4 linked regions of the Arabidopsis thaliana genome follow. The protein of the gene in region 4 interacts with the protein of the main gene of each other region in a pairwise test. Each region holds a gene or a part of one and is shown on either strand. Other genes may lie near its edges.

Region 1 (4,014 bases), 2.1 Mb from region 4:
GAGACACAACAAAACCACTTCCTCAAGCAATTTTGGAGAAGAACGTTATCTCAAATCAAACGCCACTCTCTAGACAGATGAAGAAGACTTTCCCCAATTTCGAATTCCGAATTTCAAATTTGTAGACTAGAGCTTTCCCCAATACCTGAGCTCTTTCAAAATTCACAAACGGGTTAATGGGCTTATGGCCCAATATCTATTGTACATACTACTTTGAATGTTTGTAGTCGTAGATGATAAATCCGGATTTTTGGTTCGTTTTCGGTTTGTGTTTTGGGATTTAGTTAAAGTTATAATTTAATTTTAGGCATGTCCATTTCGGATCGGTTGCGTTCTGTATCTGTAGGTAAAAAATCTTGTTCTATAACAGTTCTTGTTTGAAAATATTTATTTTAGTCGAACAGGTAAGAGATTCAATAGTCCATTTCTATTTTTGTGATGGGAACCATTGCACCATATTTTGATTGAGTTTAACTTATATAGTTTGTGGTTAAAGTATTGCAATTGAATATGATTAACTTCACAGAATGTGAAACTAAAATAGGTTGAGCCGACCAGCTCGTGTCAAACACAGTAAAAAAACTTATAAGAAAAGAGAAGTTGCATATATATATATACATGGGGAGTGTCAAGAAACTGTCTTTGTTCCCTCCAGACTAAACTTGAAGAACATCAACATAACAGACAAGATACTATCCAGCAAATAAATCTAAGACTGTGCCTTTTCATCACTCTGGAACATAAAAATCGAACCTGACATCGACAGAACCATCACGGGTATCTTTGTATTCCACGTTGGTTATGGTTCCAGCCTCGTCCACGTCTTGGTACTCTGGTTTCACCCTTCTAACAGGCACCGTGACCGAGTAAATGGTCCCAAGGTCACCGTCCGTGGAAACATTTAGCTGAACTTTTTCCTCTGATTCTATCTCTACGAAATCCGACAGTGCATGGATAATGTTGTTGACGATTTTCCTTTTAGCTTCGTCACTAACATCACACCTGTCGGAGAAGAGGATCATCTTGAGCCGCTGCTTTGCAATTCTTGCGTTGGAGCTTCTTCTTGATGCGTGAGATGGGAATATTATCTTCCAAGCCAAGTTTAACCTGTCAAAGAAACCCATGTTGATGGCATTATAGAGAAAGCTCTCTATCTCTTGCTCTGCTGGGCTTGGTGATAGTTCATAGTCTCCGGTGTTCCTTGCAAGAACCTTCACCTGACCTCGTGTGTTTTCGCGGCTGATCGCCAGTCCAGGAGTACATTTCTGAGTTTCCAAACTGTTTACGCCATTGCTTATGAATCCCGTGAAATCAACCTGCAAATTTACATCCATCACCCGCAAAAAGGGACTGTAATTTCAGACTAGTTGCATTTTGAGAACTCAGTAATTGTTATCGTACATCTATAGGTAAAGCAACTATAACATCAAAGCTGACCTAAACGTATATGTTTTCTAACAAAGTAGCAAAACATCAGGTCATAAACACCACAAACATCTGCATATATCTAACAGAAGACCGGTCTAGTCTACGTAATCCAAGGCACCACCACCATTGTTAAAAAGACTTAATATGAGCTACAAGCTTAAGAACATATTCACTCTCTTTGATCATCTATAGGTAAAGAAGCAACTGTAACATCAAAGCTCATCTTAAACTTAATGAAATGGTTTTGTAACAAAATTGCAACACATCAGGTCATAGCACCACAAACATCCGCACATATCTAACAGAAGACCGGTCCAGTCTCGCTCTCAGTAATCAAAGACACCACTTCCATACTATAAAGACTTAATATGAGCTACAAGATAAAGAAAATATCAAAACTACAAAAAAGGAGGATGGTCATGGAGATGGATTCGTTGGCTTTCCTAAAAACAAATATACTTAAGTTTTGTTACTAAAATCCTTCATTTCCAAGTGCCTAAGTAAAAACACAGAAACTGGAATGATAAACTTTCAGGAGCTCGCGATGAACAAGCAAATCTAGAGCTAGAGAGAAATTGTGAAATTGTTCCAATAAAAGACGCATTTCAGATTCTTCCTAAACCACACAGACATAGAAACGAAAGATCGAAGCTAGTAATCTAAGTTCTCCTAATTTGGTGGCGAATTTCACGAGCTCCAGATCCCAAATTGCAGCGAAGAGAAAATTTGAATCGTAGAGTAAGAATTATAAGAAAATCGGACCTTGGAAGAAGAAGAAGGTAATGAGAGGCGATTACGGTGGTGATGATGATAAGGAGATACTAAGGTCGCAGAGATCCTGAGAGTTCCAGAAGACATCGCCATTACCGAGAAACTTGAAATTGCTCGCCGGAGAAGTGAATCTTTTTCGTCTCAGTTAAAAGAGAAATGAGATTACGACGACTCTTCTTACAAAGTAAAAGGCTATCGAGCACTTTAAGAAACGCTGTCGTTTAAAGGCTTGAAACACAGCGTTTTAACAACTGCCTAACCGATGTCGTATCATCTATTTTAATATTAAACCAAAACAACAAAAAAAAACTACTTTGCAACTTTTGGTGTTTGAAGTTTAGAAATTAGAAGAATGACGACAATAGTACCAACTCATTCAAAGGTTTTCTATAACTCATTCAAAGGTTTTCTATAAGCAAAATGTAAGCTTTATAAAAAATCACATTATTGGTAAAGCTGTAGGCAACCACAAATAACTAATAAGTAGTTTTCAGATTTGATGGATTGTAATATTTGTTCTTTAAACTTCAATCTAACAAAATATCCGTAAAGATGACTATTTGCATTCTTGCTGTTTTATTAAAAATATGATCTTTTGACAAAAATATTTCAAGTTTTATAGATAAACCACGAATAAGTAGTTTTTAGATTTGAGAGATGTGCTTTTAGTCAAGTGGTTAAGTTCATTTGATTTCGTCTTTCTATCGAGGTTCGATTCCACTAAGTCGCGTTACCCTATATAGTAGAGTTTGACTATATATTGGACCTTCTAAAAAAATAGTATTTAAATTTGATGGATTATAAAATTATTTTTTAAAGTTTAATTTATAAGAAATCTGCAAAATTGACTATATGCGGGGTTATTGGTGTTTTATCAATAATTATGATCTTTTTGATAAACTTGTTCCAACTTTTACAAATAAATCGCATTGATCTCGGAAAAAAATTGAAACCCTAGAGAATTTTCCAATCCCATAACACTTGGTAAGGACTAGACATTCGTCATTCTTCTAAACTTCAAAAACCAAGGCTACAAGATTAGGGCTTTTCTAACTTAACATTTTTCCAAGATAGGGTTTTAGGTTTTTGTTTTGGCTTAATATGAAAATGCTACAAGAGGGTTTTAAACTTTTTGAAACAAGTTTATTAAACGAACCGCTGTCGTTTTAGTTAATTAAACAAAAAACACAGTCGTTTTGAAACAAGTAAAACGATCATTTGATTAGGGGACTGTGGTCACCGGCGGCGAGAACCAAGGCTTCTTCGTAACCAAATATCTTTCGATATCAAAAGACAATCTCTCCAAAATACAAATTGACTAATATAATAAGTCGAGAGATTCTGGTGCAGAGGACAAAAAATTTCAATTTTGATTTCATTGAATGGGTAAATGGAGAGCAGTAGCTGCTCTTCTTCTTCGTAATCAATTACTCAATTCTTCAAAAAGACTAAACCTTTCTTCTTCTCCATGTGTTTCGAAACACCCAACGATTGGTTTAGCTTCTCGCTTTCTCAATTTCCGACACTTTTCAGCGTTCCCTTCTCCGATTTCGATTTACAACAATGACTCTGATTCTGGGTCGAATGATGCATATCAAAACTATGAATTTGGAACAGAGGCAGAGGAAGCACTAGGCAAAATCCCTATCAAAGCCTATTTTCTCAGTACTAGGTATGTACATCTTTGGTATTGGGACTCACTAGTGAAAGTTTTGAATTTGGAATCTTTACAGTTTGAAAGTTGAAGTCTGTTATGTGTTTTTCATTTATAATTTGGTTTCTCAGAACTATGGTTTTGGCAGTATTGATTTGAAG
Region 2 (5,506 bases), on a different chromosome or scaffold from region 4:
GCGGAAAAGCTAATCGCAAAACATGAGATTATAATTATGCGACATGTCAAATTGTTATGAAAACATTTTATATAATAAGAAATTTATTTGGTATAGTATCATATGAAACAAAGAGTCAATACAATATCAATGTCATTATATGTGCTCATTATGTTAAGTTGAGTCAAGGCACTTTACTAAGAACACTTCAATAATTATATTTAACTATTTCTGTGTATTCATACGTATGATACAAGGTTTGGTGTTCTATATACTTTATCCTCATCCCTTGAATTTTAGTTGGGCCAAAATAATGACATTAAAATTATAATATGTTGCTATATAAAAAATTGTTACAATTTGGATGCAACATAGAGAGATCATTAGCGAGACATTGGGTGGATCGTGCAATTCATTTCTGTTTTGTCAACTAGCAATTCAAATTATGGCGACATTATATACATTAATCCATATTACACAAAAACTAATAAACTATATATGTCTTGGATTCAAATAGAAGAAATAAAAGTCAACGAGTTTGCCCTATAAATGATTCTATGCTTTCAAATAGTTAGCTACAAGCTCATCAATCTCTGCTCTATTAAAAAAAGAAGAAGAAGCAAACACAAAACAACAACAAAGAAATATGGCAAAGCTCATAGTTAACTTCTCTGCTCTCTTGATGATCATCTTGTTGGTTTCTAATGGTAATTTTAAGATTTTCTTAACTTCCTTTGTCCTATATTAATATCGATATGGATGTGAAAAGATTAATGTGAGAATGGTTAAAACAGGACTCCCAAAGGCGGTAGCCCAAACATGCTTTAAAGGTGAAGCTCAAGAGGGTGTGTGTGTTAAAGTTGACGGCTCAAAATTGTGTGACCTTCTTTGCAGGGCAACCAACACAACTTGGTTTGGGGCATGTGAAGTGGAAGACAACGAGACGCACTGTCACTGCTACGGACCTTGTTAAGTATCTCATCCGGACGCAAAACCAAATATGAAACGTGAATAATTGTGTATCAGTACCTAAATAATGTGTGCATTGCTTATGATCAATGTCACATATCTACATGTGTGTTCCATGTTTGTGTGTTTTTATTTTATCGCTTTCAATAAATTTGCATCAGCACCGTAAATGTAGCTGATGCGATAAATGAATGTAAGATTAAATCTGTTTATTATGTTTGCTTTTGGTGTTCCATTATCTCTCCTATATATATGTCCTCTTCTTTTTCTTCATTCTTGTCATTAATCTATATGTATGTGCTATTTTTTGTTGAACAAAGGCTAATGAGTCTTATCTATAACACCAAATCAACTCCTAATAGTAATAGAACTCTTAACCTAAACTCAAAAGAAGTAAAGTACAAGGAAAACTCTAATCAAAAGTTCAAAACCATATTCCTAAACCATGAAACATAAAGGAATATCACAACCTCGAAACTCTTTTGCCGTAACGACTAGAGTTGCTTTTTGTTTTTAGTTAATTCAAATGATGACATTATTGTTCCAACTATGTAATGTAGCCACCACATTTTTCTTGTAATTTTTTTTGTTTCCTTCATAAAATTCATTTAGCAAATTTACACAAAAAATTCAATGAAAGTACATGAAATGAAATTTAAAGTACAATCATTTCCCATAGTTTTTTTTCTTACCAACACCAACATAACAGTGATAAATTGGAACAAAATTTTACCAAAATAAAAATAAAAATTTTATGAACAAAAGCATTTTTTATATATTTTTTAATTATTGGGGGTTTAATGAATTTGAGATATTTACTAGTCAGAAAACACCAAAACCCTCCGTTTCGTGGGTTTCCTCCAGACCTTGAGCTCCTTGTTCAATTCACACTTTTTCTCTCCCAACTCTTCTTCCAGGTTTCCTCTGCTACTCTCAGGTTTCTCTTCTCCACTTCCCTCCAGCTTTATCCTTTTGATTTCGTCCTCCATCTTACTGTATTTACCCAAAAATCTAAGCTTTTCTCAGTGTTCTTCCATTTCTCTACTTTGTTTTCATGTAATGCTGCAAACTTCGCAATACCCATCTTCAATTTCTTCAATTCGTAATGGGAAAAAGCATTTTAGTTTAATTTGGGTTTTGTGGTTCCTCACTTGTTTCATTCTTCTAAGTCTTAAACCATCCACTGATTCTCAATTTCTGAGGATTTGATATCTATTGCTGGTTAACAATGGAGCATAGATGCGACTGGGTTTTGTTTATGTTAACTTTATGAATGTAAATCACACTGCTTTGTGGCTACTTTGTGGATTTCGTGTTTTACTTTGTGGCTGAATCATATAACTCTAAATTGAGAGCTTTGGGTTTGACCATTTAGCTTTTTATGAACAGGTCTTGTTAGGGAAGTAATCAGTGGAATTGGATTTAGTCTTTTGGTTCTGAATTTTGTAAAGTCCTGCAGTGATTGGTCTCATTATGGCAACTTACGTTTCACCGTGTTTTACTCCTTCGGATTCTCGGTTACTAACTGTTCTTAGAAAGAATGTTTTACCGGAGAATCATTTAGGCAGGTTGAACTCCATTAGAACGATTGACAGTAAGAAAAACCGAGTTGTTGTTGCCGCTCAGAAATCTGAATCTTCTCCAATCAGAAACTCTCCACGGCATTACCAAAGCCAAGCTCAAGATCCTTTCTTGAACCTTCACCCGGAAATATCTATGCTTAGAGGTGAAGGGACTAGTACAATAGTCAATCCAAGAAAGGAAACGTCTTCTGGACCTGTTGTCGAGGATTTTGAAGAGCCATCTGCTCCGAGTAACTACAATGAGGCGAGGATTAAGGTTATTGGTGTGGGAGGTGGTGGATCAAATGCTGTGAATCGTATGATAGAGAGTGAAATGTCAGGTGTGGAGTTCTGGATTGTCAACACTGATATCCAGGCTATGAGAATGTCTCCTGTTTTGCCTGATAATAGGTTACAAATTGGTAAGGAGTTGACTAGGGGTTTAGGTGCTGGAGGAAATCCAGAAATCGGTATGAATGCTGCTAGAGAGAGCAAAGAAGTTATTGAAGAAGCTCTTTATGGCTCAGATATGGTCTTTGTCACAGTATGTCCTCAAATCTTTATTATTACTATTGCATTTGTTCTTCTTAGTTATAAACTTTGATTGTAGAAAAAGAGGTATGTGTCATTTGTCAATCACTTATCAGCTAGTTCTGGTCTCCATCTGTCCAAAAGAGTGAGGTTTATATGTCTCTTCATCATTTTATAGGCTGGAATGGGCGGTGGAACTGGCACTGGTGCAGCCCCTGTAATTGCAGGAATTGCCAAGGCGATGGGTATATTGACAGTTGGTATTGCCACTACGCCTTTCTCGTTTGAGGGTCGAAGAAGAACTGTTCAGGCTCAAGAAGGGCTTGCATCTCTCAGAGACAATGTTGACACTCTCATCGTCATTCCAAATGACAAGTTGCTTACAGCTGTCTCTCAGTCTACTCCGGTAACAGAAGCATTTAATCTAGCTGATGATATACTCCGTCAGGGGGTTCGTGGGATATCTGATATCATTACGGTATAGCTTTTCTTATGGGCATCCTGTGATCATTTTTTTGTGTATGGCAAATGATTTACCAGCTACGTTTGTCCTTGATTTGTAGATTCCTGGTTTGGTGAATGTGGATTTTGCTGATGTGAGAGCTATAATGGCAAATGCGGGGTCTTCATTGATGGGAATAGGAACTGCGACAGGTAAGTTTGGAATGATGGATAAGCTCATTTAGCTGCATAGTTTCATAAGCAGAACCATTAGTCACTAGATATGTGTCGAAATAGTCTAATTGAACTAATGAGCTAGTAGATTGGTGTGGCAAAGAAACCAGTCTAGTGACTGGGATACTGAAAATGACCATATTATATTCACTGTTACTCAACTATTGTGCATCTATGTCATGATGTAATAATCAAAGTCATGAACCTTGAACTTCTTTTGCGCAAGGTTTTGTTTTGTTTGCAACGTGCTGATTCTTTCATGCTACTTGTAATCATTCAGGAAAGAGTCGGGCAAGAGATGCTGCGCTAAATGCAATCCAATCTCCTTTGTTAGATATTGGGATTGAGAGAGCCACTGGAATTGTTTGGAACATTACTGGCGGAAGTGACTTGACATTGTTTGAGGTTTTTGTCTCTCTCTCTCATCTTTGTTTCTTATCTCTATGTCGATAGATCCATAAACAATAACTGGATCTTGAGAGACGCATTGACAGGGTGTTAAAATCATTTATTTTCTTCCTTCCATAGACAACTTAGAGCAAAGCCTGATTTTGCTTCATACCCCTAAGATGCTCTATAGTTTTTCATACACTTTGGTCTTGTGTAGGTAAATGCTGCTGCAGAAGTAATATATGATCTTGTCGATCCAACTGCCAATCTTATATTCGGTGCTGTTGTAGATCCAGCCCTCAGCGGTCAAGTATGTCCTTTATAATGTTTCTTCTACTAAACATAGATAAGACCTCTAGAGATGATAGAATTGATGTTTTTTTTGGTAAAAGGTAAGCATAACCCTGATAGCTACGGGTTTCAAACGACAAGAAGAGGGAGAAGGACGAACAGTTCAGATGGTACAAGCAGATGCTGCGTCAGTTGGAGCTACAAGAAGACCCTCTTCTTCCTTTAGAGAAAGCGGTTCAGTGGAGATCCCAGAGTTCTTGAAGAAGAAAGGCAGCTCTCGTTATCCCCGAGTCTAAAGCCCAATCTAATCACTACCCTGCACACTGCAGCAATAACAAACGTGTGTGTACTGGTAGTCTGGTACTGCCTTCTGGGATACAGCAAGATGTGTTGATGTATGATCAAGAATCTGTGTGGGTGTGTATATGTTCTGTCACTGCCTCTGGTCGTGTTCTTGAATAGGTTGTTTTAGAAATCGGAGTTTCTCTCTATGTCACTTCCAAAACAAAAAAGGAGAAGAAGAATCACACTTCTCGAACCATAAACATACTTATAAGATTATGAGAGTTTTAGCAGAAATTATTGTCATTTTTCATTCAGTTAATAAAAAAATCAATAGCGATATACCAGCAAACAACTGTGACTTTCGAATAAAAAAAGTTCATCTCCGACGCATGATTCTGTGGCAATGTGCAGCAACCAAACAAAGAACCAACTTGGTTTCCATTTCATATGTTCAAAATAAAATTTGTTGATACATAGATATAGCTTGGGTCTAGTTTACACAGATCAAACACAGGTTACAACATCCGGACTTGTTTCCTTGAGAATTTTCCAGTGCAGGACAAGCCATCCATCAATCTATTATATGTAAAGATATCAGGCAACATATCTTTATCCAACATCTCGTTCACTAGAACTTCTCCTTCCTTTCTTCTCCCTTCTTTCGTGAACCCCGAAACCAAAACATGGTACGTTGTCTCATCGGGTTCATATCCTTTGCTTGATGCCAAAAGTCTCAATCTGTTTGCATCAGTAGAATGATCAGAACTGCAGAGATCCCGAAGAAGCAAGTTAAATGTCACACTATCGGGAAGAATTCCTGCATT
Region 3 (7,029 bases), on a different chromosome or scaffold from region 4:
AATACGCATCGTTCTTGGCTTTGCCTACATTTCCATAAAAAAAATTGGTTAATTTCAGAAAAAGAAAAGAAGAAATGAGAAGAGAAGAGAAAGGAAACGTTACTGGTGAGGGCTTGGAAGAAGAAGAAGAAGAAGAAGAGACACGAAGAGATTGAGCAAGCTTGTTGAGATTAAGCTCCCCCATTCTCTTCTTGTTCTCTTCCACCCTATTCAAACGAATCTGTTCATAGCTTAGCTCCGATTCCACCATTTCTCTTAGGAATCCGAAACAGAGATAGAGAAACGAAAGAGACAGATCCAAGTCTTGCTTGACTCTTCAATGCGCTTTTGAGTGACCGTTGGGTTTCTTCTTTCACCGCTATGTATGTGTTTATACTTCTCCAATTTTTTTTTTCTTTTTATGTAATAAAAATCTTAATCATTGTGTCTAATCAAACAAATTGAAATTTCAAATTCTCAACAGTGGAAGGTCTGAGTAAGCCTCCATCGTGATACGTGAAGCAGGTATGGGCTTCTTAAAAGACGTTTCTTTTTTTTCCCTCCATAATTAACAATTATTTTGAGATCCCTTAATATTTTTAACTATTTTAAGAAAACATTTGATTTGATCAGTAACGCTTTACAATAATAATAAAAAAAATACTCAAGAAGTTTGTTTATCCATAAACACATTGAAATCAAAAGAATCTACAAAGACAAATCCTGTGGGTTACTAAGGAATAAAGAAACAAACCTGAGACTTTCCTACACCGTTAGGTAAACAAGAACAACCGTTAGCTAAATGATCCCATGTTCTACTGTTGATGCTACAACCTTTAGTTAGATGATGAGCTTTTTTTTCTGGGGGATTTTCACTTCTGTATTTGAATATCGCTTTGGCAGAATTTCCACAATCCATCTTCTTGCTTCTTCAGAATATATCGGATCTTGTAAGTGCTACAAGAAATTTACAAAGGCTGCATCAGTGAAGAAGATACCAGCTCAGTCCAAAAGTAACCCGAAAGCGAAATGTTTTTTTTTACCTATAATATTTTGCGTTTTTGGGCTGAGATTCATCAACTAATTCTGCTGCTTCCTCCAGAAGAGCTTCGATTTCTGCAGCCTCACCAGCAATACCATCTTCGAATATATGTGCTTGCAAAACCTCAAGATGAAGCAGAACGAACCTCCAATAACAGGATTTCGCCTCTGCTGTTTGTGCCAATGTTTGCCACTGCATTAAACAAAGAAATATTGACTCTACCTAAACATTGATGTTCAACTGTAGTAAACTAACATAATTAAGTAAAGGAATAATAGGAGATGTATAGAAACAGTAACCTGGACAAGCATGGATTCATCAAGGACTTCGGAAAGGCTATAAACTTGATGTGTTGGTCCAAGAGCTTCAGCCTTAACATTTTCCCACTGTCTCACAAGCTCTTCCGCTTCTTCTGTATCCATTGGTCTCTTATGCAGTTCTGACGCAGAATGAGACAATGATGTAGCTGATTGACCAGAGCTTTTCAGATACAGGGCATCCGGATGTTCGCCACAATGCATCTTTAACATGTCAATGAGCACTTTGATGTTTCCCACGATACCATTTCTATTCACAGAATCAAGGTTTTTTCTGAAATTCCCAGACTCTGTTTTCCACAGAAAAGAATCTGATTCTGAATGCGGCCTAGCAGAAACCGATATAGGCATACTCTGTAGTCTACCAGACCTAATGCCTGATAGCTTCAGAGAGAAGAACACGGTGCAACCCAGTAAAGCAACAACAGATACCCTTCCGATCAAACTGCTTTGAGAGAGCCACTCATCCCATATTTTATTTTTGTGTACACCAAGGTTCCTCTTCAGTTGAACAGATGGCATACTGGCACTGGTTTCATCATTATTCTTGGCTGATACCACTGGGCTCTGCAAATCTGTTGGTGTCAACTGCTCGACAGCTGTATAAAGATGTTGTGACGAGTTCACGAACTGTGTTGTGGAAAGTGGTCTTTGGTTCGTCTTATGATTCATGATCGAAGGTGACCCCATTTTCTTGTTTTCTGGATATTTCTTTTCAGCCCGGAAAAAATTGGCCTGCAGAAAGTTGTATATATGATTATCTTTCTGCATAAAAATAGAACTGCTATACAGAATCTTCCAGTAGTGATCTGATTCTTACCAAAGATGGAGAACAACCCCTTGTGTCTGGAAAGTTAGCAAGCACGGACTCCATTAGCCACGCTTCCTGGTCAATTTTATAGGTAGCATGTATGAAGGTCGCTATCAATCTTTCTATGAAAAAAAATCAGAGCTAGCGAAGAGATGTACATACTTGCAAAATTTCCAAATTAAATTTAGTGCATGAACCCAAGGGCTTACTCAAACAAATATTAAGATTTATGTGTATGTACAACCAATCGAAAAAGAAAATGTTAACGGCAGGCATACACAATGCTGTTAAAGCATATTCTATGAATTTAACTACCATCCACTAAATGTATCTATTTCCATTGTTTCAATTACAGCCTGAAACATAGCTCAAACTTATTCATACTCCACTAGAGTTGATCATGCCATTTACATCAGGCATAGCCCTCGCTCTAGTCGTAGCAACAAATGAACACATATTCTTGGTAAAAATCATAAGGTTTACCAGTGAGGGAGTAGCAGAAGTACTTCTCGACTCTTTCCCCAAGATCGAATTACGAACGGCAGAGTCTGAATTTGATTCCAGCTGCTTAAGTTTTTCCAGGGCCTCTGCCTCGGAACCCTGTGCTATCCAACATGTAGGTCCAGTAGCACTTAACTAAATGAACAACGCAAGGATCTTTCGAAGCAAGTGAACTTGAAGTAAATAAGATGCACAAGCATAGTTGATAGGGAAAAAGAATAAAGAAAGCAAGAGGAAAAATACCTGTTTTAGAAGAAATGAGCAAAAAGCTTCCTCAAATTTCAGATCAACACCTTCTGATGCTATGAGACATTCGCATATCGTTTTTGCTTTATTAATCTACACAAGCATACTGAATGTTATGCTTTATAAGCAGATAGAGTAGAGAAGAAATGGACCAATCAGTCTAAATTTAACAAAAGGAAAGAAAACGAGATATACCGTTTCATTTTGCTTGCCTGAAAATCCAACAGCGATGTGACCAAGTAACACCATGTAGAAACAATTAAAATCAATAACAACTCTTTGATTGTGGGATTCCAGTGATTTTTTATTTTTCCGTGTAATGGCTAAATCATCCCATGGAAGAAGATCGACAATCTCTGTGGCCAATAACCTGCTAATTGCCTGGCTCAAAAAGCATGGCCAGTCTTGAATTTGACATGAAGCTTCAACACTAAGGCCCTGTCTGAGCAGTTCGCGTAGCGCGGCAATTGCACCTCGCCTCCTCTCTGCATTTTCTGGCGTGCGTGGCAGGCCCAGTAGATCCAATGTGCAAGGTGGTGCAAGCTCCTCTAGTGACTCCTCAATCTATAAATATCAATTTTAACCCCTTAAAACCCAATATGCTGGTAAATTATGCTTTTGGACAATACGTACTTATATGTGAAGCTCCTAAACATGATGCGATTTACAGTAAGGCATGATCATGCACTTTTAATAATTCAAGCCAGTAACAGGGCTAAAAGTAAACTCAGAGAAGCTTTATATATACTAATGCAAGACAGTAGAACCTGTTACCTGAGTTAACAATGCAAGTTTCCCAAGAGTAACTTTACTCTTCAGAAAACTTTGAGCACGAGCAAGAGCTTCAAATCCTTGAGAGACCTTGTTAACCTCGAAAGCAGCCTTGGCAATTGCACACTAAATGGAAAACAAACATATTAGAGATAGAAGAAGCAGAGGATAGTGAAAGTAGATAACTAGTTCCCATTCTTAGTTCATTTGATTTTACCTCAGCAAGTGCCATAGATAAGAATATATCATGAATATATGGCTTTGAATCAAGGTTCCTGAGAGCAGCCCGGCCAATATCCAGCACAAGTTTTTCTTGTCCAACCTGAAGCATAGTAGCAGAAAGATCAGTACAAAACATTTGCAGGGATAAAACGCAATAAAAGGTCAGAAGTAGTACCTCTTGAAGAAGGCATAGAGCACCAGGCAACCATGCCCACGGAATTCTGAGAGGAGATTTAGGAGCAATCTTTTCTTTTAGGTTACCAGCATATTCTGATTCAAAAAGAAGTTTATCCCTAACATCCATGAGAAGATCCTACACATTAAGAACAAAGTATCAAGAAACTGAAGCCACATTCCCTGTCCAACTCTAGTGATACTATAGGTCTTAACCTGGCGAGCTGCAGCAGCTTCCATTGTATAACCCTCTTCAGCATCAGTTTTTTTCAAATTTATAACCGACTTAACGACCTCGTCTTTCTCAGCTTGCTCAGAAACTCCGATAAGCTGCAAAATCAATACAATTAACAGTATCCTGGAATAATGTCTAACAAACGAAACGCTACATTCTTTACACTCTATTGCAGAAATGAACTATGATACAATATTAAATTGCCAAATCAATACATCCATCTCGTTCTACGCGCTAGAGACTACAAATTGGAGGAAAATGTTTCTATTTCAACAAAATTTAGAAGGATAAAAACAAGTTCCACTTGCACTTCAACGAGGAGCTAAGTAGCAAATCGCGAGAGATAGTAGTATCTACAGAGATTCCGAAAAGTAAGTCAGTCGGAGCAAAATACCTGGTAACACGTAACCGGGAGTTCGATTGTAGAGGTAGATGCAGCGAGAGAAGAAGTACGAGACGGCGCATTGTCGACGACATGGATACCACCACCAGCAGCATTCAACCTCCTCCGTCCTTCTCGCTGAAACCGCCGCAAAGATAAACCAGAACCGAAGAATTCACCGGATTCAGAACGAACGACGAGGAGACCTGAGATCTGAAGCTCCGGGCGATCTACGACGAAGCTGGTGCTGCGATTGGAGATTCCGCAAAGCAGACAAGAAGAAGGGAGAACTGGAAATGTGTAAGCTACTGGCATTGCGCAACAGCTCCAGAAAACGAACGAACCCTAGAAGAAGTAGAGTGAAGCTGGAATCATGGTACAATTTGTTGGATTTCTTCAGAGGAGAAAAAATCGGAAATTTGGTCTCAAGGCTTTTGAGTTTTGACAGTGATTTTTGCCTTTTTCTGAAAGTTTCGTCTTGTGACGATAATAAGGTAACCCGCTGGCCGAAAGAGAGGCTCTGCTAATCTAGGACTAGACGAGACGAGACGTGGTCACGTGATCACGCCACGTGGATAATAAAGAAACATCTGGAAGATTATTTTATCCGTCCCTGGACATGGGCCTAGCTCTCGGCCCATAACTAATGTGCGAGAGAAACTACTGCAAGCTCATCGCATGCTACCAGTAGTCTAGTACTGATCAAAGGTTTAATTTGTGTGTAAGAAAAAACTTATATATAATTTAAAATTTGTTTAAATCTGATCAATATGATTTTTTCTGAATCAAATACCTGGAAAGTATATGTCTGGTGTAAACTTTTAACTTGATCAGATTTTGTAATACTTTCACTTAAGTTTAATATCATGAAAAAAGATTTAAGATATTTTGTAGTCATTATATTTTTGGAGGATAGCAAATTGCAACACTCAAACACATTTGGCTATATGAGAACCACGTTTCCTTTCTTGCAAATCAGCACCTCTTTTTTGTCCCGACTTAAAAATTCAGAAAAATAAAATGCCAATTTAGTAAAATAGAGAATATTTTTCACAATAATTTTGTGTGTTGTACAAGAAATGAGGTATTTCATTTTATTTTATTTTACTTTTTTCCTCTACAAGCAAAAACACACAACTACACAAGGATAAAACCTCTTGCCGTTGGGTTTATTTAGCTTCTTTGCAATATCCTTAATTTCGTCTCCGTCAGTAGCAGTCTCCGCCGGGAATATTTTTTTTCCGGTAGCTATGCTCCGAACCGTCTCTTGTTTAGCTTCGCGCAGCTCGTCCTCTCTATTCTTTCGCTTCTTTCGTCAGTTCCCTCGCTCTTACATGTCTCTCACATCGTCGACGGCAGCTCTCCGTGTCCCCAGTCGCAATCTTCGCCGAATTTCCTCTCCCTCAGTCGCCGGTAGACGTCTTTTGCTCCGACGAGGTTTGAGGATTCCCTCCGCCGCAGTTCGCAGTGTCAATGGGCAGTTCTCTCGCCTCTCTGTTCGCGCCGTCGCCACACAACCCGCTCCACTTTATCCTGGTTGGAATTTTTCACATATACTTCTTTTTTTCAATCTGTTTGAAGTTTAATTGCTAATTGATTTGTTCTCTTAATTCGGACATGTTGATTTGTGGCACTTGTGAAATTGTGGTTCTTACTTTAGGATAGGTTGTGAATTGTAGATAGGTGTGGTCCGTGTGGTGCATTTTTCATCTCATGCTTTGTGTCTACTTTGTAATCAAATGGAGCCATGTGTAACCTCTGCTGATGCGTGATTTTCCTTATTTTTGGTTGTTTGGATTCAGATGTAGGTCAAGATGAGGCTGAGAAGCTTGGATTTGAAAAAGTGTCGGAAGAATTCATCTCAGAGTGTAAATCAAAGGCGATACTCTTCAAACACAAGAAAACTGGTTGCGAGGTGATGTCTGTGTCAAATGAGGATGAGAACAAGGTCTTCGGTGTTGTTTTCAGAACTCCTCCGTAAGTTTACTTCATAATAATTTTTACTCTCTGTAAATTTGACCTGAGTATGTATTAGGCAATTGAAATTGGTACCTAAAGCTTCACTCCTTGAATTTAACTAATTGAAATGGTCAAGTTTATCTCTACTCATCAAAGCTTTTTTTTTCTGATTAGACCTAGTCATTTCGTTTCTTCTTCTAATATATTGGTACTTGTAAAGTGGTCTAAGTTTTGGAGGTTACAACTTGTCAAATTACTTAACGCTTTGTTAAAAGTCGATATGAGCAACTGCACTTTCAGTAGATATTGGTCCCACAGGCACCTCCTTGTGAAAGACTTGCAAAAACTAATAATGGAAGCAATTTTAGATCATAGTTTCGTTGTTAATGC
Region 4 (7,775 bases):
TGTACGGTTACAGGTTCTGGACGGAGATTGGGTTGCGTGGCGCGTGTTTTCCGTTTGTCGGAAACTGTCAAGCCATTCTGTTAGGGTGTATGACGGTTTGCCACGTAGGCGTACTCTGTATACACCTGGTCAAACGCGGCGGTTGTAACGGTATCGGTGCTTGGTTGTTTAACTCTGTTCTTAACGCCGTTATCACGTTGCTCTACTTGAAGTTTTATTGCAAGACGCGTTCAATGATGACCAAGGCTAATCACAACACCACATAAACCTTAATCATTTTTGTATTATTGAAATCATCCGGAAAAAAAAAATCAGACTTCAGCTAAAATATGAAAACTGGAGATCAGATTTATTCTGTTGATGTTGTTGTTGTATGATAATTAGGAATAGGAATCATTGTAGTCTTGCTCTCCGACACAAAATATATTATATAATTTTGCATTATAATAGCTTATTTTGATCTTTTGAAGATTCGTCACTTTTCTCAGGTTGCAAGGAAAGAAAAAGTCAGGTAGCTTTCGGTATTGAATTCGTTTCTTTTAAACATCTAATCAAAGAAAAGGAGTTTTTAAGTCACAGGAATACTTTTTATGAATCACGTTTTGTCATAATAATAACCTGAGAAAAGACAAAATCGATATGCACTATATAGTTACAGCATTGCCGGATGATATCAATCTCCGGCGTCCACTTGTTTCCGGTCAATGAGAACACCGTCGTCCCAAGTTTCAGAGTATCTGTAGGAAATAGCCGTCAACAATTTTGAATAAACTTGGGGTTGCTCCTTTTCTGATTAAGATAGGGAAAAGTTTTTTTTAAGAGTCACTGACCTTGTTCCATCCAAATCTATACAGAGGAATTGTCCGTGGCGCCAACCATCTTTGAAATGTCCAAAGAATATCTCACCGGACTTTGAATAGAACCGGCCTTCGCCACTGGCTTTTCCTTTCCAGAAATTTGCAAACCATCGATCACCTTTGTGGAAATAAAACCAACCCTGCAAGACAAATGAACAAGTTTTGTTTTTCTAATAAGAGATATATTTGTACAGTCCTTTATCAAACCTATTCGATATATTGGGGAAGTAGGAAACGCATTTTAAATGGCACCAGCTTGACAAAGTCTTAGGGACTTGGTGGTGAAACTAAGCAGTTGGTGCAAAAGTGTAGTCTCAATAAGCTAATCAAAATTCGAAAAGGTCAAAAGACTATTTCACCTTTCCGTGTATTAAATCTTCTCTCCATGTGCCTTGGAACACGTCTCCATTCTTGAAGTAGAATGTTCCGAGACCAGATCTTTTACCGTTGTGCCACATTCCATCATATATGCTTCCATCTCCAAGTACCAAACGACCCTGGTGGGAATAGTCAGCTGTTACTTTCGGATTAACTAAGAAGTCTGTCTCAAACATAAGAAGAGGATCCATGGATGAATTGGTTTCAATGAATAAAACTAACAAGACAGATTACCTTTCCTTCGGGAAGGCCTCCTTGGCATCTTCCCTTGAAAAGTCCTCCTCTGTACTGCATCTCAAGAATAGGACTCCATCTTTTTGATGAATCTCGTTCAGCTTCCTAAGAATTAAAAATGGAAAATTTTCTCTCAGTTGGCATCGACTTGGACGATGTTTTTACAGAAAGACTCTTCATCATGGTTGCAGACTGAACCAAGGAGAAAACTTTGCCTCTATATGCATTATTGTTTGAAAAAGCAGCCCACTAGTAAGAAGATGATTGATATCTCAACCTCATAAGCTGGTACATTGCTACTTACCAGCATAGACGATGCTCGAGCGGATAGATTTCTTTGCTTTGTAAAATCAGCATATTTCTCAGATAGCAGGGTAGATGCAGTATCACTAGAGTCTTTTGTCGAGCCATTAGGGTTGAAAAATGATTCTTCTCTGGAATCAGCCTTCCTAGAGAGTTGACTGGCAACACTGAGATTACTGTTCAATTTCTTCGAAGGTCTCACACCAACAGGAAGGTTGACAATTCCCAGGCTAAGCACTGCAGTGTCTCCAGAATCAGCTTGCCATTTCTGCTCAATCTGATATCCCTGATCCATACTCCAATTGGCAATAGGCTCCCTCTGGATAGCACCAAAATCTACAAAAGATGACTTTCATTCACTTAATCACTTTTAAAGTAGTTTAGGGCGTCACTACTTCAGCACCCTATAAATAACAAGTAATAAAGCATCTCGACCAATACAACATACAAAAATAAGCAGCAACAGAAAGTTGTCTTCAATTTTGTACCTTCTACATTTTCATCTTTAAGATCCAGACGACTGTTTCTGGATGGTTCCCCCTCTTTTAATGGGTATTCACTATCATCACCGTTCTCAGAAACTTCCAGGAGGTCCTCAGAGTCAATTTCAAATTCCTCAATATTCTGATTGGAAGTTTTTACGTCAGTAGAGTCTGCTGAATCTTTAATTGAAACTGGCGTCTCTCCAAGTCCAATATTTGTTTCTTTTTGGAGCTGTGAACGATATCTCGTGAAGATATTTAAAACAAAAGGAACAAGACCAGAAAAAATGTTGCCTTTGTTGGATGTTTCCACTTCTGAAGAACTGTGATGACATTTGAGACTAGCATTAATGCTTAAAAGTGGTCACGAGAAATAGAATCTGAGTCTTGGTCAAAAGCATCATAGATCTTAATCAAACACATAAAAATATATGGTATAAATGCTGAAACCATATATTTACTTTTCTTTGTTGATTTTCAGCTAAATATGATACCATATGCATGAGCTTGAAATTGTTAGCTGTCACTAAACATGAAGACACACCTTAGAATAAAAAACGTTGTGACACGCACTTTAGGCTCCAGATCAGGCTCATGAACAGTAGATACTATAATATCTCCAGTGTACTCCATAGTTTGACGGAAAGTACGAAGAATTGTTTTCACGTCTTTCTTCTGGAGAGGTACCGAACTAGCCACAATGCATATAATAGCGTTTAGATCCTGCATGTTGGTAAAAGCATGGTTGAGACTTGAGAAGAAAAAGGTTACTTTGAATAACATAATTTCGTAAGAATTATTTCAAGGAGCATATCATTCGAGAAAAATGCCAAAATACACACAAACAAAAATTTCAAATACCCTTGCTCCTTTGGGAGAGTGATACCATCTGTTTTACCGGTTTTTTATAAGTCACTATGTTTAGATTTATTTTTTCCAATTATCAAATCCTCGAATTAATGTTTTTATATTCACTTTATTATCAGACGAATGAGGAAAAAATCAAACGAAGAACTTAAGTAGGCAGATGAATCTTCTGTCGAAAGCTCTTTAACAGATTAGAAATACCTTTAGACCAGGTCGAAAGAATGGGCAGTCATATATAGCTCGTAATATCGAAGTCTTAAGGTTGTGACCAACTCCAAAACCAACCTTTGCCTCTTTGTAACTTTCTAGAATCTGTACATAAGAGAGTTGAAGGATTGAAGACAAGCTGAAACTAAGGGTGACTATACCATACAGACAAATGAAATCTCAAGAATAGGTAAGACTATGAAGATTTTTACTACTAAAACCCAAAAGAAACAATTCCAAGAAACTTACCGTTTTAACTTCTGAACCTTCAAGTTCTTTAAGATCTTTATGCATCACATCGATGAAGTTTCCATGCATCCCCTAGATAAACCCATGTATGAAATGACAAAAAAAATTGAGTATAATATGAGAGACAGCTAGAGCAGAAAAGTAACCTTACACTTATCAGAGCGGAAGCTGCATTTATTGCCATAGACACAGCATTGTTTGCATTTCTCAGCGCCTCGTCCAAAGTTACCAAATCCTTCTGTAGTAAAACCTCTATGTCGATATCTACAACGCCCAAATTAAAGTCAGTTCATGGCCAGCAGAACTACTAGAAGAAAAGGTAATTTTTCTGACGCTATTGTGTCAGGAAATATTTCACAATGTTAATAGACGTACCTATACAGAAATTGGTGTGTTGCTGCAGTTTTCTAGCCAACTCGTTAACCTGCACACAACCTGGGAAATTAGAAAAAGAGAAAAGGCTCTAACTAGCAATACTAAATGAAGTTGAACTTGTCTGTAGATAGGGACGTCATTTACTGGGCTGTTTTCAGTTTGTTATATGGAATACTGTATATATTAAAAAATGTTGACAAGAAATGGAGATGACAGAGATTTGGGAAGGTGTGTTGTTGGAAAAACATGAAGCCACTCGAAGGTTCTCCACCTAGTTTTCTTCTCTATCAATTCAGGTATACAAGTTCTACTTACAGCACCAATAAAAAAGTCCAAACACGTAACTAACTGCTTTAATCTTATTATCAAGACTCTGGGATGATAAAATGAAAGTCCAAATTGGCTCTTTTGGTACATAGCAATCAACTACAACTTTAGAAGCAACAAAAAACTACCTCTTCTAGACGCTTTCGGCCTTCAAAGCTGAAAGGCTTTAATAGCACAGCAACAGCTAAGTTACCCCCAGATCTTACTGCACTAAGAATATTAATAGCTTCAACCTGGTCAGAACCATATCCAGCACTAGCCACCTGGCAAGGGTAACAGTTTAAGCAGAATCAGATGCTCGGCCAATACTATTCCACGAAAATAAAATTCGAGAAAAATTGAAAACCATTAGCATTTCATTAAGAGCCTAAGCGAATTTCGGAACCATGGTTGTTAATAATCACTGATCAATTAGACACTGTGTATCTTTTGCTACCTATGGAACTGCGAAATTCAAAAACGTTTTTGTAGCAGAAAACAGAACACAAACAATGTTAGGCGAGAAAAGTACAAACAAGGATGAAGGCCCTTGGACGTGACTGTAACAGCTCAATTGGATTCATGGTCTTCAAGGCATTATCTGTAAACAGAAAGAGAGAAGCGATAAGTAAGAAAGATAGCATATCCCTCTAATCTTCTTGAACAACTAGCTAAATATATGCTAGTTGTTCAAGAATCTGTTTTTAATCAAATTCAAAACTCAAACGGCAAGAAGAAACAGGAAAAGAATAGATTATGGACCTTGGTGATTGAGCCTCTGCTGTAACACTAAACCTCCAGAGCTGTCCTTGCTAATACTCCTGAAAAAGTAGATTTGGCAATTAAATTTGATCCCTTTCACGAATACACAGAGCGTACGTAATCAATTCAAGCCATAAGCTTCGTCACTAGAAGAAAGCTACACAATTTAGGAGTGTGCTAGGAAAGTCAGTAACAATAAACTATCAGATTTCGAAAATTAGACTACAACAAAGTGGCTAGTAGATAAAACAGAATCATGGGCCGAACAAAAGTCGAGCATATACCAAAATCGCAGAGGAAGAGAAGGAAAAGGAGAATCCAAGCATGAATCCATGATAGACTCCTTGCGACTACCGATGACAAGAACCTCAATGAACTCGTCAGACCCATCTTCTCCAGCTCTCTCGCACGTCTCTATCGGAGCAGAATCCCTCACTAAGCACATCACGCAAATCCGACGCGCCTTTCGAGATGTACAGTTCAATCGCGTCGTAGCACCAAGGGACGAAAACGGAACTCCAAAAGTAGGAAGTAAAGCTAAACGAGAGAACAATGGTACTCGGAGAGTAGAGAAAACTGGAAGTTCCATAGAAATCGGCATTGCTCCGCTTCTACGGAACCACTTCTTAGAATACAGAACAATTTAATAAGTCACATGAAATTGATAGATGATGAGATTCGGTCGGAGCATAGCATGTCTGAAGTTCTCCCGATAATTCTGAAGCAGAAGAGGGAAGAGTGAGAAAAATATCAAGTTCGCCGGCACCGTGAACTGATTATTTATTCATTAACCCTTATATTACTACTTATTTTAGTTTTGACCTCATATTTGTTTTTATTGCTTATGTACCCCTACTGTAAGTTGACGAATCGGTGGCGGAGATTAACTTTTGAACCGATCAATCACATCCTCATATTTGGTCTACTATCACTTTTAATAGTTTACTTTCTTGGTCAATGATATATTTTATAATCAAATTGTTTCATTATAATAAAGAAAGAACTTATCTTAGTCTTCTACAATAATGAGTCCAATATATTCACTAAACAAACAGTTCTTTCTTAACAACAACTAGAGAAAACAATTTCAAGGAAAAATTTTACTTAGAAAAAATCAACTAGACACGATTTTTTCTTCAGCATTTTATACATGAATTGTTATATTTTTTTGGATATAACTTTATCTTAGAAGAAAATATACTTATACCATTGTAAAAATAAGGGAATTTGGTCAAAAATTCCAAAAAAAAACTTATACTATTGTAAAAATAAAAATAAATGACATCGAAATAATTAATAAAAACATCTGGTCCCCATGAAACTCGTATATTAATACTTCAGATCCAAAATTTATGAAAAAATATCAAGCTCAATGTATTAAATTAAAAAATATAAATCATTAAAAGCTAGATTTTATTCTTGTTTGGTACAACCAATAATAATAAGTGGGGAAAAGTATTAATTAGAGTTTGCTTCACGTTTGAGTTTCACAAAAAGTGTAACGACGCCAGGAGAATTTTATCGGGTCGCAAGTGTCACCTTTGTGGATTTTGTCTTCCCTGCAACTTTTGACCTTTTCGCACTCAGCGAATCAGATCGCTATAGTACGGTGCACCCTACCGTCTCTGATCATCCCCACTGTCTTAATTAGATCCGACCCGAAACGTATCCTTCTCTGAAACTTCGTTTGAGATTCGCATTCCTCTGTTCTTCCACCATTTAACAATTATCCTCTTTTGTCTTCGCCAACTTCTTCCGTTTCTTCATACTTCTCCAGGTACTTCGTCGAGTTCCTCGTGCTTTAGATTGTTTTTGCTTTTTTCGAAGATACGTGAGAGAAGTGTTTCTCTTGCTCTGTCTCTTCTTTGATCTTATATCACGTGGGATCTGATTTTTTAGTTGCGGTATTCACAAGTCTTTCCCAATTTGAGGATGTTTTGTCTCCGTGATTTCTGTGTTTTTGTTTTGGAATATTGATGATTATAGATTCGAAATTATGCAGCTTTAGATACTAACTAAATGACGAATCTTTTCTCATTATTCGCTTGTTGAATCTTCCACTGAGCTCATAGATAAGGAATTCTCTGTTCATTGTTGCTTTTAGAGCTTAATTCATGTTCCTGAGATTCAAATTTGCAACCTTTTTCCCACTTATGTAAGAAAAAATGGCTTTTTATATATTCTTCATTCATGGCTGTGTTGATTAGGAATCTCTAATCTCTATGTCTACTGTTAGATTAATTGTTTGGTATTGATACTCAAATTGCATATATTTAGGTTCTTGCATTGGTTTTTTATAGTATCTTTTCTGCAACTGAGTCTTTGTATTTACCAAAAAAAGAAAAAAACTCAATCTTTGTGGGGAACTTAAAGGTGGCACTGAGTAATATTTGAATCTCATTGCTGCAGTTTTGTCTTGAGGTTTATCTGGAAAAAAGATGGAAGTTTGCGGGGATCTGAAATCTGATAACTTAAAGAACCGCCCCTTGACTCCGCTTAGGATTCTGAGGGGCTTGATGATCCTGCTGGTGTTTCTGTCTACTGCTTTTATGTTTCTGCTGTACTTTGCACCAATAGCTGCTCTAGGTCTACGGCTTCTGAGTGTGCAACAATCTAGAAAAGTTGTTTCGTTAATCTTTGGTCTCTGGTTAGCTTTGTGGCCTTACCTGTTTGAAACGGTTAACGGGACAACTGTGGTGTTCTCTGGAGACATCATTCCGGTTGAGAAACGTGTTTTGCTTATTGCAAATCACAG

The links.
Region 1: the proteins of ARC3 (region 4) and MINE1 interact in binary tests that used the Arabidopsis thaliana proteins (3 or more experiments, as listed by UniProt).
Region 2: the proteins of ARC3 (region 4) and FTSZ2-1 interact in a two-hybrid assay, tested with the Arabidopsis thaliana proteins (one study listed by BioGRID).
Region 3: the proteins of ARC3 (region 4) and PARC6 interact in binary tests that used the Arabidopsis thaliana proteins (3 or more experiments, as listed by UniProt).

The regions. Positions count from the first base shown.
Region 1 is NC_003070.9:26,082,999-26,087,012, reverse strand, and holds MINE1 (homologue of bacterial MinE 1), read right to left. Parts: upstream 2,452-4,014; 5' UTR 2,293-2,451; coding exon 2,191-2,292; intron 1,317-2,190; coding exon 729-1,316; 3' UTR 501-728; downstream 1-500. Other genes in the region: RRG (sporulation protein (DUF155)), read left to right, coding at 3,582-3,871, 4,002-4,014. UniProt on the Arabidopsis thaliana protein: Acts as a topological specificity factor during plastid division and specify plastid constriction sites (such as the Z-ring) in a MCD1-dependent manner. Especially involved in epidermal plastids division in a FTSZ1-dependent manner.
Region 2 is NC_003071.7:15,196,848-15,202,353, reverse strand, and holds FTSZ2-1 (Tubulin/FtsZ family protein), read left to right. Parts: upstream 1-1,750; 5' UTR 1,751-1,885; exon of another isoform or gene 1,886-2,337; 5' UTR 2,338-2,421; coding exon 2,422-3,054; intron 3,055-3,219; coding exon 3,220-3,519; intron 3,520-3,604; coding exon 3,605-3,695; intron 3,696-3,996; coding exon 3,997-4,121; intron 4,122-4,323; coding exon 4,324-4,416; intron 4,417-4,498; coding exon 4,499-4,693; 3' UTR 4,694-4,985; downstream 4,986-5,506. Other genes in the region: AT2G36255 (Defensin-like (DEFL) family protein), read left to right, coding at 626-686, 774-952; AT2G36240 (pentatricopeptide (PPR) repeat-containing protein), read right to left, coding at 5,198-5,506. UniProt on the Arabidopsis thaliana protein: Exhibits GTPase activity which converts GTP ligands to GDP.
Region 3 is NC_003074.8:6,630,776-6,637,804, reverse strand, and holds PARC6 (plastid division protein), read right to left. Parts: upstream 5,169-7,029; 5' UTR 4,996-5,168; coding exon 4,693-4,995; intron 4,394-4,692; coding exon 4,280-4,393; intron 4,203-4,279; coding exon 4,065-4,202; intron 3,990-4,064; coding exon 3,885-3,989; intron 3,794-3,884; coding exon 3,671-3,793; intron 3,461-3,670; coding exon 3,092-3,460; intron 2,990-3,091; coding exon 2,894-2,989; intron 2,750-2,893; coding exon 2,633-2,749; intron 2,225-2,632; coding exon 2,159-2,224; intron 2,074-2,158; coding exon 1,321-2,073; coding exon of another isoform or gene 1,258-1,320; exon of another isoform or gene 1,214-1,257; coding exon 1,023-1,213; intron 937-1,022; coding exon 852-936; 3' UTR 513-851; downstream 1-512. Other genes in the region: AT3G19184 (AP2/B3-like transcriptional factor family protein), read right to left, coding at 1-24, 104-250; PREP1 (presequence protease 1), read left to right, coding at 5,931-6,216, 6,483-6,657. UniProt on the Arabidopsis thaliana protein: Component of the plastid division machinery required for PDV1 localization to constriction sites. Involved in chloroplast division site placement. Required for the proper formation of FtsZ rings at the division site in nongreen plastids (e.g. etioplasts).
Region 4 is NC_003070.9:28,164,321-28,172,095, forward strand, and holds ARC3 (GTP binding protein), read right to left. Parts: upstream 5,794-7,775; 5' UTR 5,622-5,793; coding exon 5,305-5,621; intron 5,080-5,304; coding exon 5,021-5,079; intron 4,860-5,020; coding exon 4,795-4,859; intron 4,543-4,794; coding exon 4,408-4,542; intron 4,002-4,407; coding exon 3,953-4,001; intron 3,842-3,952; coding exon 3,729-3,841; intron 3,650-3,728; coding exon 3,578-3,649; intron 3,434-3,577; coding exon 3,323-3,433; intron 2,978-3,322; coding exon 2,799-2,977; intron 2,578-2,798; coding exon 2,261-2,577; intron 2,109-2,260; coding exon 1,774-2,108; intron 1,575-1,773; coding exon 1,470-1,574; intron 1,355-1,469; coding exon 1,217-1,354; intron 998-1,216; coding exon 831-997; intron 738-830; coding exon 674-737; 3' UTR 508-673; downstream 1-507. Other genes in the region: AT1G75000 (GNS1/SUR4 membrane protein family), read left to right, coding at 1-266; LPAT4 (lysophosphatidyl acyltransferase 4), read left to right, coding at 7,459-7,775. UniProt on the Arabidopsis thaliana protein: Together with MIND1 and MCD1, regulates FtsZ ring positioning in chloroplasts in an ARC6-dependent manner. Z-ring accessory protein involved in the initiation of plastid division and division site placement (might functionally replace bacterial MinC).